Arabidopsis thaliana: one gene and its partner. The protein of the gene in region 1 interacts with the protein of each later gene in a pairwise test. Each region holds a gene or a part of one and is shown in the gene's direction. Other genes may lie near its edges. The genes, in order: MYB41 and AT3G19120.

Region 1 (7,439 bases):
AAAATTGAAAGAGAATGATATATGTGTAATTGAATATATACTTGTCTATCTTCATCTCTTTTGCATTGATCACTTTACCCAAAAAAGACTCCACCGAAGACCTATCTGTTCCAGGATTTTTCTTACCCTGAAGATGATGAGATTTAGTAAGAAGAAACATATTCTATGAGATATAATATGATTTGAGTGATCATCAGTGTATATATACATACCCATCCAAATGCAAATGGAAGGTTGTTACCGGTACCTAAAGGAACCGTAGCAATTGGAGGTGGATTGGATAAATTAAGATCAGAAACAACTCCAAGGAGCCAACCAGCTGTTCCATCTCCCCCTGCAACCTAAATTAAACATAACTCATGCTTAATGACAAATGACTAAATTATTAACACCTTTTCTATTTACGTACCGATGAAGATAACTCACAATGATTTTCAACTTGTCCCGAATCTTGCTAGCCAAACTATCGTCTTTTAACCTCTCTAGGTTAAGATAAATTCTCTGCAGCACTTTATCTGGGGTCTCTACCTCCAGATCAAAAACCTGAGTACCAAATATGCTATAATTAATAACCAATTAAAAAACATGGAAATATAATATATGATAATGATCATCAGTAAAATAATGTAGACAGTTATCTAATTTAATTAGTTTCCATATTTCAATCAAGTTTGATTTTTAGGGTTTTTAGGTTAAAATCAGATATAAAATCAATCAAGTTACGTATTTAAGAAGAATCAACGAATTCATCACTTTTTGTTGTAGAAGCCAATTTCAAAAACCAATGAATCATTAGTCTATGGCTAAAGCCTAAATTGATATATTATAGACCTGCTTGTCGTTGAGCAGAGTACGGTAGGTAAGGATGAGTTCTGCACCTAGTTGACCTCCGCTTTTGGAGTTGATGAATACGAGGATTGGGTTCTCAGGTGCAGTTGTACAACTGATTTGCGCCTCAGGCTCGTCTTCAGGCGAGAGAACGTACGAAGGTATGAAGAATTTCTTAAGGAAATCTGATAAATTCTTGTATTTTTCCATACTCGTCTCTGACTGAACCATTCACATATCAACACTCATCAAGTATTCATATTTAAGATTAATCAAATAACAAATATATAAAATCGACATCGTTAATCATGCAAAAGACGATCGAAGTAGACATCATACCATGAAATCTCTCAAGGGGTTGAAAGATAAAGTTTACTATATTATCGTGTCTTGAAAAAGTAATTAGATTTAAATAATGGAGATCCTGAAGATTTTATAACCTTTTGTTAATGGTATTGCTATACCAAGACTAATTAGGAGTTAGAACAAGGTTAAAGGCACAACGTTGATTTTCCTTTTTCTTTTATATAGATAAAAACACTAGTACTCTTAAATGGTCTTTATGCACATGAAAACGTGATCTTTAACATGCATATCTAATTAGTAATTACTGCTTTTTTTGTTTGTCAAAAATTACAGTCTTTTTTCATTACTTTTTTTGTTAAAGGATTTATATCTAATTTACTGCTGACATATGGAAATGGAGTCCATTGTCTTTGTATTATATATCATCTTTCATATATTTCATACTTTTCTTTAGTTTAATATATTTATACCAATTTATACATATTTAGATATTCTACAAATATTAATTTTTTGTCATCATTTGTTTTATATTTTATAACATTTAACTTATTAAGGTTAAACGCAATTACAAAGTGTAACTTAGCCCGTCACTGATGAGCTCATTTTTACAAGCAATTAAGCCCATTAAGGGTGTAAAGCTTAATTCCACTAATGGCCCATTAAGTAAAAAGCGCTATAGTATTAGGCCTTGTTCGAGAATCTCCTAATGCCATGACTTAGACACAATCTTTGGACTTGACATCAATACATCATCTCTGACGATGACCGATTTCCTTTGGTAAATCTCTGACGATGACCAATCCAGAAGAGAAACCTAAGAGTAGATAGAATGATGCAAAAAAGAAGTGAAAGGATAACCCCACATCACATCTCTTTCCATGTGTCACCTTCTGCATGAATCCACACATTGCTATTTTAAGAAGGTGAAAATATTTTAAAATGTAGACAATAAGCTTCGGTGTGAACTTCGGAGAAGCCTGTGGTTCTTGTGATAAAGGGGATATCGAATTCAAAGTTTGTTGCACTGCTTTCCACCAACAATTTAACAAACATAAAAAATAAAATAAAAAAGTTTCACTTCTTTTGCAATTTTGTAGTTATTTAATTTGCTTTTTGAAATCGTCTAAGTAGTGCCAACGTGGATGGCTTGTTCGGAGAGAGCCTTCCACAAGCAATTGAAACTTGGAATAACGTTGCATAAGTAAAATGTTGCAATCATCAATTTTAAAAGCACAAGGCACATGACATTAACACGTTATTTGAAAGTTTTTTTGATGAGAATATCCAACTACTTTACCGTCCTCACTCTCTTAACCTTTGAAACTCTAGGCTTTATGTTCCAAAATTCAACGTAACATATATTCTCATACTTAATTTTTCAGGTTTTCTTAAACCAAACATTATGTAAAAGTCAACTTACCTATATTAACATGCAAAGTCAACATCTCTTTTTTTGTTTAAGCAAAGTCAACAACTTAACCCACAAACAAAAAGCAAAACATGCAAAATTATTAATGTGCTTCACTCTGACTCTCACCACCATAAGGTAAACATAAAATACTCTCACCGCCGAAGTTACCCCCACAAGGTTTCTATTTTAATCTCTTAGTTCCATTACTTTATCTACATTAACATACAAAAGAACATTCTATCACTCCAAAATATACGCATAAAGATATTATTATTTGAACTAACAGAATCTAAGTTAGATAGATAGATTATATTAAATACCATACATACTATCACGTGGATCGTTTCTAGAATATACAGTAAAAAAAAAACGTTAGGCGATATGTAGTCTAAGCAAGGTTTATAACCTTTTGTATATTTCAAAGGACGTGGCATATTAGGTACATGCCAAGTGGAATTGACCTTGGCTCTCTTCTACATTGATAAAGTTCTTCGCATAATTCACATCCCTATATAAACAAATGAACGGAGAAGGTATGAGTACATCCACACATTGACATTTCTAAAATCCAACTCCTCTTTTTGAAAATTAAGAAACTCCACTTGGCTCTTCGATTTTTTCTATCTAAATAACAGAACCAAATCATTATCGAAATTTAAAGTTGTGCGAAACAAAACAAAGATGGGAAGATCACCTTGTTGTGATAAAAATGGAGTGAAGAAGGGACCATGGACTGCTGAGGAGGATCAGAAACTCATCGATTATATTCGATTTCATGGTCCTGGCAATTGGCGTACGCTCCCCAAAAATGCTGGTACGTATAAACTACACACCGTTCCTTATATTTTGTTCTCATAGATTAATATATATGTTCTCTATTTATTGAGTCACACACTTATAAGTCGTATTGTACAAATTAAAGGACTCCATAGATGTGGAAAAAGCTGCCGTCTTCGATGGACCAATTATCTAAGACCGGACATCAAGAGAGGAAGATTCTCGTTCGAGGAAGAAGAAACTATCATTCAGCTACACAGTGTTATGGGAAACAAGTAAGCCTGATCATTCACACCATAATTTTTGTCTGAAATTCATATTCATCAGCTACATGCTTTTGTATGTTAATTAATGTAAAACTCAAAAAGGGAGAGTGTACGTTTGCATGCGGGGGTACATGTCAAATGTAGGCCATCAACTCCAATAAACTATTATTAGTACTTTACTAGTACGTATTGACCTATATTAGAATAATAATAAAGGAGTTTTGTATTGATCATAGATTAATGTCACTAATATTGAATTGATGAATATTAGGTGGTCAGCAATAGCCGCTCGTCTACCAGGGAGGACCGATAACGAAATAAAAAACCATTGGAACACTCACATCCGCAAGAGACTTGTAAGGAGTGGTATCGACCCTGTTACTCATTCTCCACGCCTTGATCTTCTTGATTTGTCCTCACTTTTGAGTGCACTTTTCAACCAGCCAAACTTTTCAGCAGTTGCAACACATGCGTCTTCTCTTCTTAATCCTGATGTATTGAGGTTGGCCTCTCTACTACTGCCACTTCAAAACCCTAATCCAGTTTACCCATCGAACCTCGACCAAAATCTTCAAACTCCAAATACATCATCAGAATCGTCTCAACCACAAGCTGAGACTAGTACAGTCCCAACAAACTATGAAACTTCATCATTGGAGCCTATGAACGCAAGACTCGACGACGTTGGTCTTGCAGATGTATTACCACCTTTGTCAGAGAGTTTTGACTTAGACTCGCTCATGTCAACGCCAATGTCTTCTCCACGACAAAATAGCATTGAAGCAGAAACCAACTCCAGCACTTTCTTCGACTTTGGAATTCCGGAAGATTTCATCTTAGATGACTTTATGTTTTAATTTTCAACATTTGCATACACATGTCTTGCTTTCACACATATGATTCTTTGTTGCATTCTTTCTTTTGTTTGATGTATAAATTTCTTGTTTTTATTCTCTCAAAAGATATTAAGTTATTAGTCTATAAAATTTTCATGAATGTTTATGTATTATCTGCTTAGGCGAGATATCTAAATTCTGCTCCATTAGTCCATATACACAGTTGACGGAAGCAAACATAGAATTATTAGCGTCAAACACATCACATATTCATATTGCTTTGTTCGAATCATCGTCAATCAAGTTAATCAGTTTATGCGAGTTCTATCATTTAGGCCCAATTCAAGGCCCAATTCAAGTTCATTTTAAAGCCGTTAATTTGGCCAATTTAAGGCCTATATTCCGGAAGCTTGTAGAACTATTTTCTAAAAACCAAATCGATAATATGAGTTAGTTAAACTTGGTCTATATAAAATGATATTTTCACTTTTCAATTCCAAGCAAGAGATAAGTGTGGAACAGTTAAATCTAAGTCTTATATAGATAATTTGAATTTGAGGGATGAAGGCATTTTGACTAATTGGTATGGGCAGGTAAGTAAGCAACACAAAGAACGTGTGAAAATGCTTTAATTGGTGGAATTTGGAACTTAAAGAGGAAGATTAGGAAATGCATTAGTGAAAGTGGGGACGACTCCTTTTTTCTCGCCTTTTGGAGTTTTCACCTTTTTCCCTGACGGACCGTTTCCCTAGGCTGGCCTCCGGCTCATATTCATATACCCGTTTGAAATAAGAGGTTTATTTCTTTTTATTTTTGGATTTGTCAATGCTCATAAAGCGTATCAATGATTTAATATATGATTGTAGAGAGTTTTTGTGTTTTGTCCTTTAGATATCGATCCTTTTCTTCCTGTGACTATGCTCCATTCGCATCTCATCCCACCTCGTTAAGGGCTCGTTATGTTTCTCCACCATTCATATCTTTTTTTTATTTTCTCTAACTCCTATCTTTAAATTTTTCTCTTTCACATATTTTTGCTAGCGTTTTGCGAAATTAAAAGCCACCATGTTATATACATGAACATGTAAATACATTACAAATGTACATGGATAAATATGAACTATACATTATGCTTAGTTACTAATGTAGACATGTAGTTAAGAATTCTTAGTTACTACTAGAACTAGTAGTACAAAACAAAAAGACAAGGCCTATAATTTCCGGAGCTAAACACAGTTTACAAAGGGATTATAGACTCTAAAACAAACCAGAAACTGCCAAAAGTCAGGAATCTCTTGTTTTTCTTCCCTCACATCTCTCTTCTCTCTCTCTTCACAATAGTCCTTTGGACAGAACAAAAGAGAGAGAAGATAGTGAATAATGGAAGGCTGCTTTTCTTCGTGAATCTCAGAATCTTAAAAGACTCAGATTTGAGAAAACGTTTCAATATCTAAATCCATTTCTCTCCCTCTCTCTTTAGCCATTTAGAATGAAGAAAAGTCTCACTCTACTCATCCTCCTCCTCTGTTCTCTCCTCTTCTCCACCGTCTTGAGCAACCTACTCGTCGAACCGGTCCAACCCAACACCGTACCAGCCTTCCCCGTCGAAACCCAAGCTCAAAGCTGCCGACTTGACCTCTCCAACGAGCTATTCGGTGGCGTCAACGAAGCTTGCGGAAGAAACCTTGACCGGAGTCGATGTTGCCCTGTTTTAGCCGCTTGGCTCTTCGCAGCTCACGCTCGCTCTGCTCTCCAGTTACCAGCTCCTGCTCCAACGCCGGAATCTTCTGATCCCGACGAACCCATGAAGCCTGACGACTCTCAGAAGTGCGTCAACACATTGCAAAGTGCGCTTTTGACTAAACAAATCAAGATCCCTCAGCCTAATTCTAGCTGTGACGCAATCTTGTGCTTCTGTGGTATTCGTCTCCACCAGATTAGCTCACTCTCTTGTCCCGCCGCTTTCAATGTCTCCTCCGGCTTCAAAAACGCAACTCCGACCGCCGCCGTGAAGAATCTTGAAAAAGAATGCCGGAACTCTTCTTACTCCGGTTGTACCAGATGCCTCGGTGCTCTTCAAAAGGTTCAATTTTTATAACTTAAGTTCAAATTTTTCGCATTCCGTCACATTAAATTTTCATTCTTTATGTCCCTAGTCCCTACACTAAGGATTCACAGAGCATTTAATGAAATTTTTTTCTTATCCTTAAAAGCATAATAAATGTTTTGATTTCATTTGCGTGAAGTCTTCTTCAGAATGTTCAAGTAGCTGTCACTCTCTATCCATGAGTAACATGTTCACCAAACTCACAATAACAAATTTTACTGTTAATTTTAGGGTTTATGTTGAAAGAGACACACACAAGCACATTGTTGGTTTTTCTTTGGCTATCCTTTTAGGTTGCAAACAATTGGAGATGTGCTTTTTCAGAAACTTTCTTTTTTCGTATAGACCCAAAGCACTGCAACACTCTGAAACCCTTCACTTTCACACGCAATCTTTTTGTTTTCCATTATATTAATGAATCTTGTTTTTTGTTTCAAATTTTGATGGGTGGATTTACAGCTAAAGGTAAGAGGAGGAAACAAGAAGACAACAACAGAGAGAGGGACTAAGATGATGAGCAAAGATTGCCAGCTCATGGGACTCACATGGCTACTAGCTCGTAACAAAACGGCATACATTCCCACTGTTTCGGCTGTGTTAAGAGCTATTATGTATAGTCCACACCCACCTCACCTCAACAAGTGTAGTCCTGACCAAGAGAACATGCCTTTAGCAGTTGACTCTCTACAGTTTCAAAAGAGCTTCTCTTCATCATCTCATCTTTTTGGGGTTTTACCGTTTTTACCCTTAGTCCTTTGTATCTTTCTCTTTCTACTGTGATTTTTTTCTGTATTTTTTGGTCGGGAGGGGTAAAGAGAGTCACGTGAAGCTACAAGACAGTTATGTGTATGTAAATGCTGTGCTCTTTTTTTGGTTCTGCAAACTCTTAACCCTCATTTTTTGGTTTT
Region 2 (7,439 bases), on another chromosome or scaffold:
CCAAACCCTAATTCCGGTTAGGCATACAAGAAGATTTGAGGATGGTTGCATAGAGATGCAGTGGAACGAGATATAAAAATATGGTTTTTTCAAAACCTCTGTTTTAAACAGGTGTTGAGTATAAGGCCCATATCTAATTCTTTTTTTTTTTTGGATTCACTAGTCCTGACGTTCGGTTATCCAAACGACTATCGGTTCCATTCGTTTCGGTTATATAATTTAGTATTCATTCAACTAATTTAAAATTTTGGTTTGGTTTTGGTTCAGTTCTTTAAGTTTTATCATTTAGTATCCATTCAAATATTTTACTTTAGATATTTCAATTATTTTATGGATATTTTTCTTTTATTTTTGAATATTTTTATGATTTTATATATTCTCAAATATTTTTATTATTTAGTTTATAAATAACTTTTGTTTTGGATATATAATTGTATTTTATATCGGTTTGGTACCGATTCTAAAATATCTATTCTGTTTTTTTTCGAATCTTTGGTTTAATGTAATTTTTTTTTTTTTTTACTTTAGTTCCGGTTCGATACATCCGATTCGGTTAATTTACATACTTTTAAAATTTACTGTAGAACAGTAAAACGGCTCGGTTAATTTGCATAGGCCTAGAGTTTACTGTAGAACAGCTGACTCTTTCATGACAGTACAAAACGGTTAATCATATTATCACGTAAATATGTTTTTGTTTTTACCCAATGATTAAAAAGTCAGTTATATTTTAAAAACCCTAGAAGGTGAAATAATTAAATGTAAGTGGCTAAATGCGGTGGAATCAGAGCCGTCGATCTCAAAAAACAACACGGCTTAAGCACGTAAATGGGCCCCACGTTTCGGCCACTTCCCCAAGACCCATTGTTTCAGCCTTAAACCCATTAACTCACTTCTCTCTCTCTCTCTCCGCCTCCTTTTAAGACCAAATCTCTCTCTACCTCTATCTCTCTCTCCGCCATTACCAGAGCTCAACGAGCTCTCACTTTCTTTACGCACACTTGTTGGAACGAAATATATTCATAGAGAAGAAGAATCTCGAAACTCTTGAATCTAAAACAACTCGGAGACTCTGTTTTCCCTTTCCGGAGATCAGATCGGATCAAGATGCAGACAACCAACGGCTCAGATTCGACGTTGGCAACTTCCGGAGCCACACCGCCGAATCAACAAACCCCTCCTCCACCTCAGCAGTGGCAGCAGCAGCAACAGCAACAGCAACAGTGGATGGCTGCCATGCAATATCCACCAGCGGCGGCGATGATGATGATGCAGCAGCAACAGATGCTGATGTATCCTCATCAATATGTTCCGTATAATCAAGGTCCTTATCAGCAGCATCATCCTCAGCTTCACCAATACGGGTCTTATCAACAGCACCAGCACCAGCAACACAAGGCTATTGACCGTGGATCTGGAGATGATGTCAAGACTCTTTGGGTTGGTGATCTTCTTCATTGGATGGATGAGACTTATCTCCATTCTTGCTTTTCTCACACCGGCGAGGTATTATCTTGTTCATTGGTACTCTGTTTTGGATTTAGATTGTTACTTGTAAATATGGTTAAAAATTCATCCTTTTTGCAAATCATTGACATGTTCTTGTGTTTTGATTCATTGTTAAACCAAGTAGCTATTTTAAAAAACTAGTTAGTTGGATTAGATTAGATCCAATGGATATAGAAACAAATAGGGTAATGGAGAACAACTTTGACCTGAAAAGGACAGGACAAGTTCATATTTCGTTAGGCAAAAAGTACTCTTGTACCTTGCCACGTTTAGTTAAAACTTTTCTGGTATGAAAGAGAATGATTGCATAAGATTTTCACTTTTCATGAATAAACTTATATCCAGTTATACATGTGTTCTGTTTTGTTCTTTCTCTGAAGTTTCTTGTTTTTTTTTGTGATGAGCAGGTTTCTTCTGTGAAAGTTATACGTAACAAGCTCACTTCTCAATCAGAAGGGTATGGGTTTGTTGAGTTTCTTTCACGTGCTGCAGCTGAAGAAGTTCTTCAGAACTATAGTGGTTCAGTGATGCCAAACTCGGACCAACCCTTCCGTATAAACTGGGCATCTTTTAGTACTGGTGAAAAAAGAGCAGTGGAAAATGGTCCAGACCTATCTGTTTTTGTGGGAGACTTGTCTCCAGATGTCACTGACGTTTTATTGCATGAGACCTTTTCTGATAGATATCCTTCTGTCAAAAGCGCCAAAGTTGTGATTGATTCCAACACCGGCCGGTCCAAAGGTTATGGTTTTGTGAGGTTCGGTGATGAAAATGAGAGGTCAAGGGCTTTGACAGAAATGAATGGAGCTTACTGTTCGAACAGGCAAATGCGTGTAGGTATTGCAACTCCCAAAAGAGCGATTGCTAATCAGCAACAACATTCTTCACAAGGTTTCTTTTCATACTTCTCTCTGCAACTAGTTTTACCCTCTGATTCTTTCTATTTAAGTGTACTAGTTTTAAGCGAGAGGTGAGCCAGTTTTAATCCATAGGACTCTAGAGCTAACAACTTGTTGCATTCAACAAAGTTTTTGAACTATAAAGATTTTATGTTTTCATTGGAATAGCTGTGATTCTGGCTGGTGGACATGGATCAAATGGTTCCATGGGTTATGGCTCGCAGTCTGATGGCGAATCAACTAACGCAACAGTGAGTTGTCATATTTAGTTATATGTCAGCATCATTCAAGCTCTATATGTTCTTGCTGCTCATCTTAGGTTATTCTACTGCAGATATTTGTTGGCGGCATTGACCCTGATGTTATTGATGAAGACCTCAGACAACCTTTTTCCCAGTTTGGAGAGGTTGTTTCAGTGAAGATCCCAGTAGGGAAAGGATGTGGATTTGTCCAATTTGCTGACAGGTGCTGTCTTCATCTAGTTAGTAGTGTTGGCTTGGCAATCATATGATTGAGCAACCTGTAGGTGCTTATCTCATAGCGAGTAATTCAAAGCGACTTGCCTTTGGTTTTGACAGGAAGAGTGCTGAAGATGCTATCGAGAGTTTGAACGGGACAGTCATCGGCAAGAACACTGTCAGACTCTCCTGGGGACGAAGCCCAAACAAGCAGGTAAAATTTCACTTTGGAGTTGATGCATTCTATCAGTAGAAGAGTAAATTGAGTATTTTGCTAGGGTCAAACTTTGTGAATAGTTGTTTGTTTTGTTATTAAAAGTAAAGTCAGTGGTTGACAATAATAGCTGGTGGAATCTAGCACCTTCCCTTCGTTTTCTATTTTGACTTATGCAAGTGGGAGAATATCTAATACATGTCTCCATGTCCAACTTGTGTCACCAACCCTGAACATGGTCTTATGTCGACATGTTTTGGTCTAGGACTTAACCAAATTGGTTCTGCTGGCAATAGATTTCTTTTTAGTTCTCATAATGTGTTCAACTTGTGGCAGTGGAGAGGAGACTCAGGGCAGCAGTGGAATGGAGGATACTCACGAGGACATGGTTACAACAATGGAGGAGGATATGCTAACCACCACGACTCCAACAACTATCATGGGGAGAATTGAAGAGACTCATCAAGTGATCATCTTCATCATGGTTTCACATATCAAAGCTAAAACCTGTAGTCGAAAGAAGAATTTTGTTAGATGGATTTGATTTTGATAGACTTGTTGTTTGGAGGAGATTCAAAAATTTTGGTTACTGGTTTGTCTCAGACTAATATAAATGGTTGCAACTTGTTGGATCAAAATTCCGCTTACCTTCTACGAATTGCTTATAAGCCCAAAACTTTCTGAAATTAAACAAACAACCCCAAAACTTTAAAATTATATTTATTAACTCACATTAATTTTAAATTTTTAGCTATTAGCCCTTTCTCTCTCACTTCTTCAGTTTTTCTTCTACTCTCAACCTCTCCGGAGAGAAAAAAATCGGAGAGTGAAGATGGAAGAAGCTTTCATGGCGATGCTCTCACATCTTCTCCATCTCCAAAACTCATTAGATCCTACAAGCACTCTCTTCTCTTCCGCATCCACATCTTCACAGTCTTCAACCACACCTTCCTCCCTCCTCTCCACTTCCTCCGCCGCGCCTTTACTCTTCTTCACTCTCGCATCTCTCCTCTCCTTCCTCGCCGTCAACAGATCTTCAACCGAATCCTCATCTTCCTCAGAATCACCTTCCCCTTCCCCTCCTCCGCCTCTTGCCGACGGCGATTACTCCGTCGCTGCCTTCCGTGCCCTAACCACAGACCACATCTGGTCACTCGATGCGCCTCTCCGCGACGCTCGTTGGCGCTCATTGTACGGTCTTTCCTACCCAGTCTTCATCACCGTCGTCGACAAGCTCAAACCATTCATCACCGCTTCAAATCTCTCTCTCCCCGCCGATTACGCCGTCGCTATGGTCCTCTCTCGTCTCGCTCATGGCTGCTCAGCTAAAACCCTAGCTTCTCGCTACTCACTAGATCCATACCTCATCTCCAAGATCACAAACATGGTCACACGTCTCTTAGCCACCAAGCTATATCCAGAATTCATCAAAATCCCCGTCGGAAAACGGAGATTGATCGAAACGACTCAGGGATTCGAAGAACTCACCTCTCTCCCCAACATTTGCGGCGCCATTGATAGTACTCCGGTGAAGCTCAGACGCCGCACGAAACTAAACCCTAGAAACATTTACGGTTGCAAGTACGGATACGACGCCGTTTTGCTTCAGGTTGTTGCTGATCACAAGAAGATCTTTTGGGACGTTTGTGTGAAAGCTCCAGGTGGAGAAGACGACTCTTCTCATTTCAGAGATAGTCTTCTATATAAGAGGCTTACTTCAGGAGACATTGTTTGGGAGAAAGTTATCAATATTAGAGGTCACCATGTGAGACCATACATTGTTGGAGATTGGTGTTATCCTCTTCTCTCATTCCTGATGACTCCATTTTCACCAAATGGCTCTGGTACGCCACCGGAGAATCTATTCGATGGAATGTTGATGAAAGGAAGGTCAGTGGTGGTGGAAGCTATTGGATTGCTCAAGGCTAGATGGAAGATTCTTCAGAGTTTGAATGTTGGTGTGAACCATGCTCCTCAGACTATTGTGGCTTGTTGTGTGTTGCATAATCTTTGTCAGATTGCTAGAGAACCTGAACCGGAGATTTGGAAGGATCCAGATGAAGCTGGAACGCCTGCAAGAGTTTTGGAGAGTGAGAGGCAGTTTTACTATTACGGGGAGAGTTTGAGGCAAGCATTGGCAGAAGATTTACACCAGAGACTCTCCTCGAGGTAAAAGACATGAACAGATCTTGGTCAAAAAATGGAGCTTTCTATCTTTGTTATCATGTAAGAAGCAGATGCTTTCAAGTGTTTAGAACTTTAGATAGCATTGTAGATTCAATCCTCTTGAGAAGAAAGTTTGAGGATTCAGAAATGTTAAAAAGCTGACTTTGTTGCCTAGCCATCCCAACTGTCAGTTTTGTAACTTAGGAATGGGTTTATGGTTTGTTCTGTAACACCTTTTGAGAATGAAATGTATGACTTCTATTGATATGGATTATGGAATCTTGAGAAGCAAGTTTTTCCGAATTTGAAATATTAATAGCTCTCTGTTACTGTAAGTTTTGTGACTTAGGAATGGGTTTTTATGATTTGCTTTGTGGCACATTGTGAATGGAATCTGAATCTTTTTCCTGGAAAAAATGGAGACAGCCAAATGAAAAGAGAAAGGGATGTTCTTAATATCTGTCTTCCATGATTTGGAAGAACACGACTGTGGATTATCATCTTATTATACAACTCTCCAGGCCTGTCGGATTTTTCTGGATACTCTCTTTCTTTGTCGGAACTTAGCATTCTTTTTCTAACACTATAAACATAGGAATGGGTCCTGAAAAAAATTCCAATTCCCAACCCCAATCCACCCATTTGCTTCTTGCAGTTGTATGTTCTTCCTCTTTCGAATCCGTTATAACACCGAGTCACTTTCCTCATCGCGTTTTCGCTAAAGATTGTCGAGTCGAGACACCGTGCAGCAGTTTGACAAAACCCAAGAAACTCAGCTTCCCGTCAGTATGTCTTATCCAGTCATTTAGAATGGTATGAACCGGGATGGATGATCCAACACCAAGTTCCTACAAAACATTTATGTTCCCTTCGTTTAGGAATTAGCTGAATAAATTGTTAAGCATGACAGAAGCAAGTGTCGAATTTCTTATAAACTTACAGAAGCGAGTTCTTCGATGACGATAACTCGGTTTCCATTCATTTCAAATAGCTCATAAGCATGACGAATGCTCTGCTCCCAACAATCAAGAGACTCATGCTGATGAACGCTAATGGAAGCTGCACAAAACTCTTCAAAATCCATCCCTTTGTATTGAAGTCCATTTAACTGTCATTTCCCAACACCAAACTTTCGTTAACCAACCTTGGATTGTATCTTAAACAGATTAAGCAAAAGGACAAGAACAGAAAGGAGACAATACCAATGCAAGAAAGTCCGGGATCCGTGATTCCTTCATTGCTTCTGTTGCATTTGTCGCAAGTGCCTGTCCAACAGAAATAAATCTAGCTTTGAGCTGTTTGCTTTCTACCAGAGAGAGACAGAGAGGAAGAGAAGGCACATACCAGTCTGATGCTATCTAAAGTGATGAGGCCATTTTTGTTGGGTGCTAAGTGTGCAAACTGCGCTTTCAGATAAAGAAGTTCATCGGTAGTTAATGTCTTGGACAGAGCCTGGAGAGAATAAAAGAGTTAGCAAACTAGATACAAAGGTAATAAATATCAAACACATCCTTAAATGTTGTTTGGAAACAGTAAAAAAGGTTAGAAGCAAAATGTACCATCAAAGCAGCTTTGCGCAAAGACGAAGATCTCAAGTATGCTTTGATCTGCTTGAAGATCAGAATATCAAATGGGATATCTATTTTCTTATAACCCGCGATCCAAGGATGCACTGTAAAAACCGGAAAAAAACGTGGAGTAACTTCAACTGGTGATTCATGAAAAGCTAGAAACAGAAGATAAATATAGAAAGATGTGGATATTTTAGAGATTACTGACTCAAAGCTTGAGATGCAGTCATTCTTTTCCGAGGGTCCTTGTACAATAATCTCTTAACAAAATCTTTTGCCTCAAAGGATAACGAAGGCCAAGGAGGTTCATCAAAACTGGGATCAGCTTTTAGAACTGCTCTGAAAATTCCTGATTCAGTTCTTGCCCAAAAAGGACGGCTTCCACATAGGAGAATGTATGCTATGACTCCTATGCTCCATACATCCGCTTCTGTGGTATAAGATCTGTGTAGAACTTCAGGGGCTACGTAATATGCACTTCCCACTATATCATTTAGTCTTTCGTCTGGTCTGACAAAGTCCGATAAGCCAAAATCTATGACTTTCAACATAGAATTCTCCTCCTTGGAAGTGTACAAGAAGTTCTGAAACATGAAAGTGTTTCAAATGTGAGATTGGTATT

The links.
Region 2: the proteins of MYB41 (region 1) and AT3G19120 interact in a two-hybrid assay, tested with the Arabidopsis thaliana proteins (one large-scale study listed by BioGRID).

The regions. Positions count from the first base shown.
Region 1 is NC_003075.7:13,965,172-13,972,610, reverse strand, and holds MYB41 (myb domain protein 41), read left to right. Parts: upstream 1-3,085; 5' UTR 3,086-3,226; coding exon 3,227-3,359; intron 3,360-3,467; coding exon 3,468-3,597; exon of another isoform or gene 3,598-3,848; coding exon of another isoform or gene 3,849-3,859; coding exon 3,860-4,445; 3' UTR 4,446-4,582; downstream 4,583-7,439. Other genes in the region: DGK6 (diacylglycerol kinase 6), read right to left, coding at 42-127, 213-341, 427-543, 832-1,059; AT4G28100 (uncharacterized protein), read left to right, coding at 5,914-6,507, 6,991-7,311.
Region 2 is NC_003074.8:6,607,492-6,614,930, reverse strand, and holds AT3G19120 (PIF / Ping-Pong family of plant transposase), read left to right. Parts: upstream 1-3,792; 5' UTR 3,793-3,912; coding exon 3,913-5,253; 3' UTR 5,254-5,581; downstream 5,582-7,439. Other genes in the region: DNF (RING/U-box superfamily protein), read left to right, coding at 1-21; RBP47B (RNA-binding protein 47B), read left to right, coding at 1,108-1,506, 1,917-2,400, 2,577-2,659, 2,743-2,873, 2,987-3,080, 3,417-3,533; AT3G19100 (Protein kinase superfamily protein), read right to left, coding at 5,951-6,094, 6,187-6,354, 6,449-6,511, 6,591-6,698, 6,806-6,918, 7,026-7,401.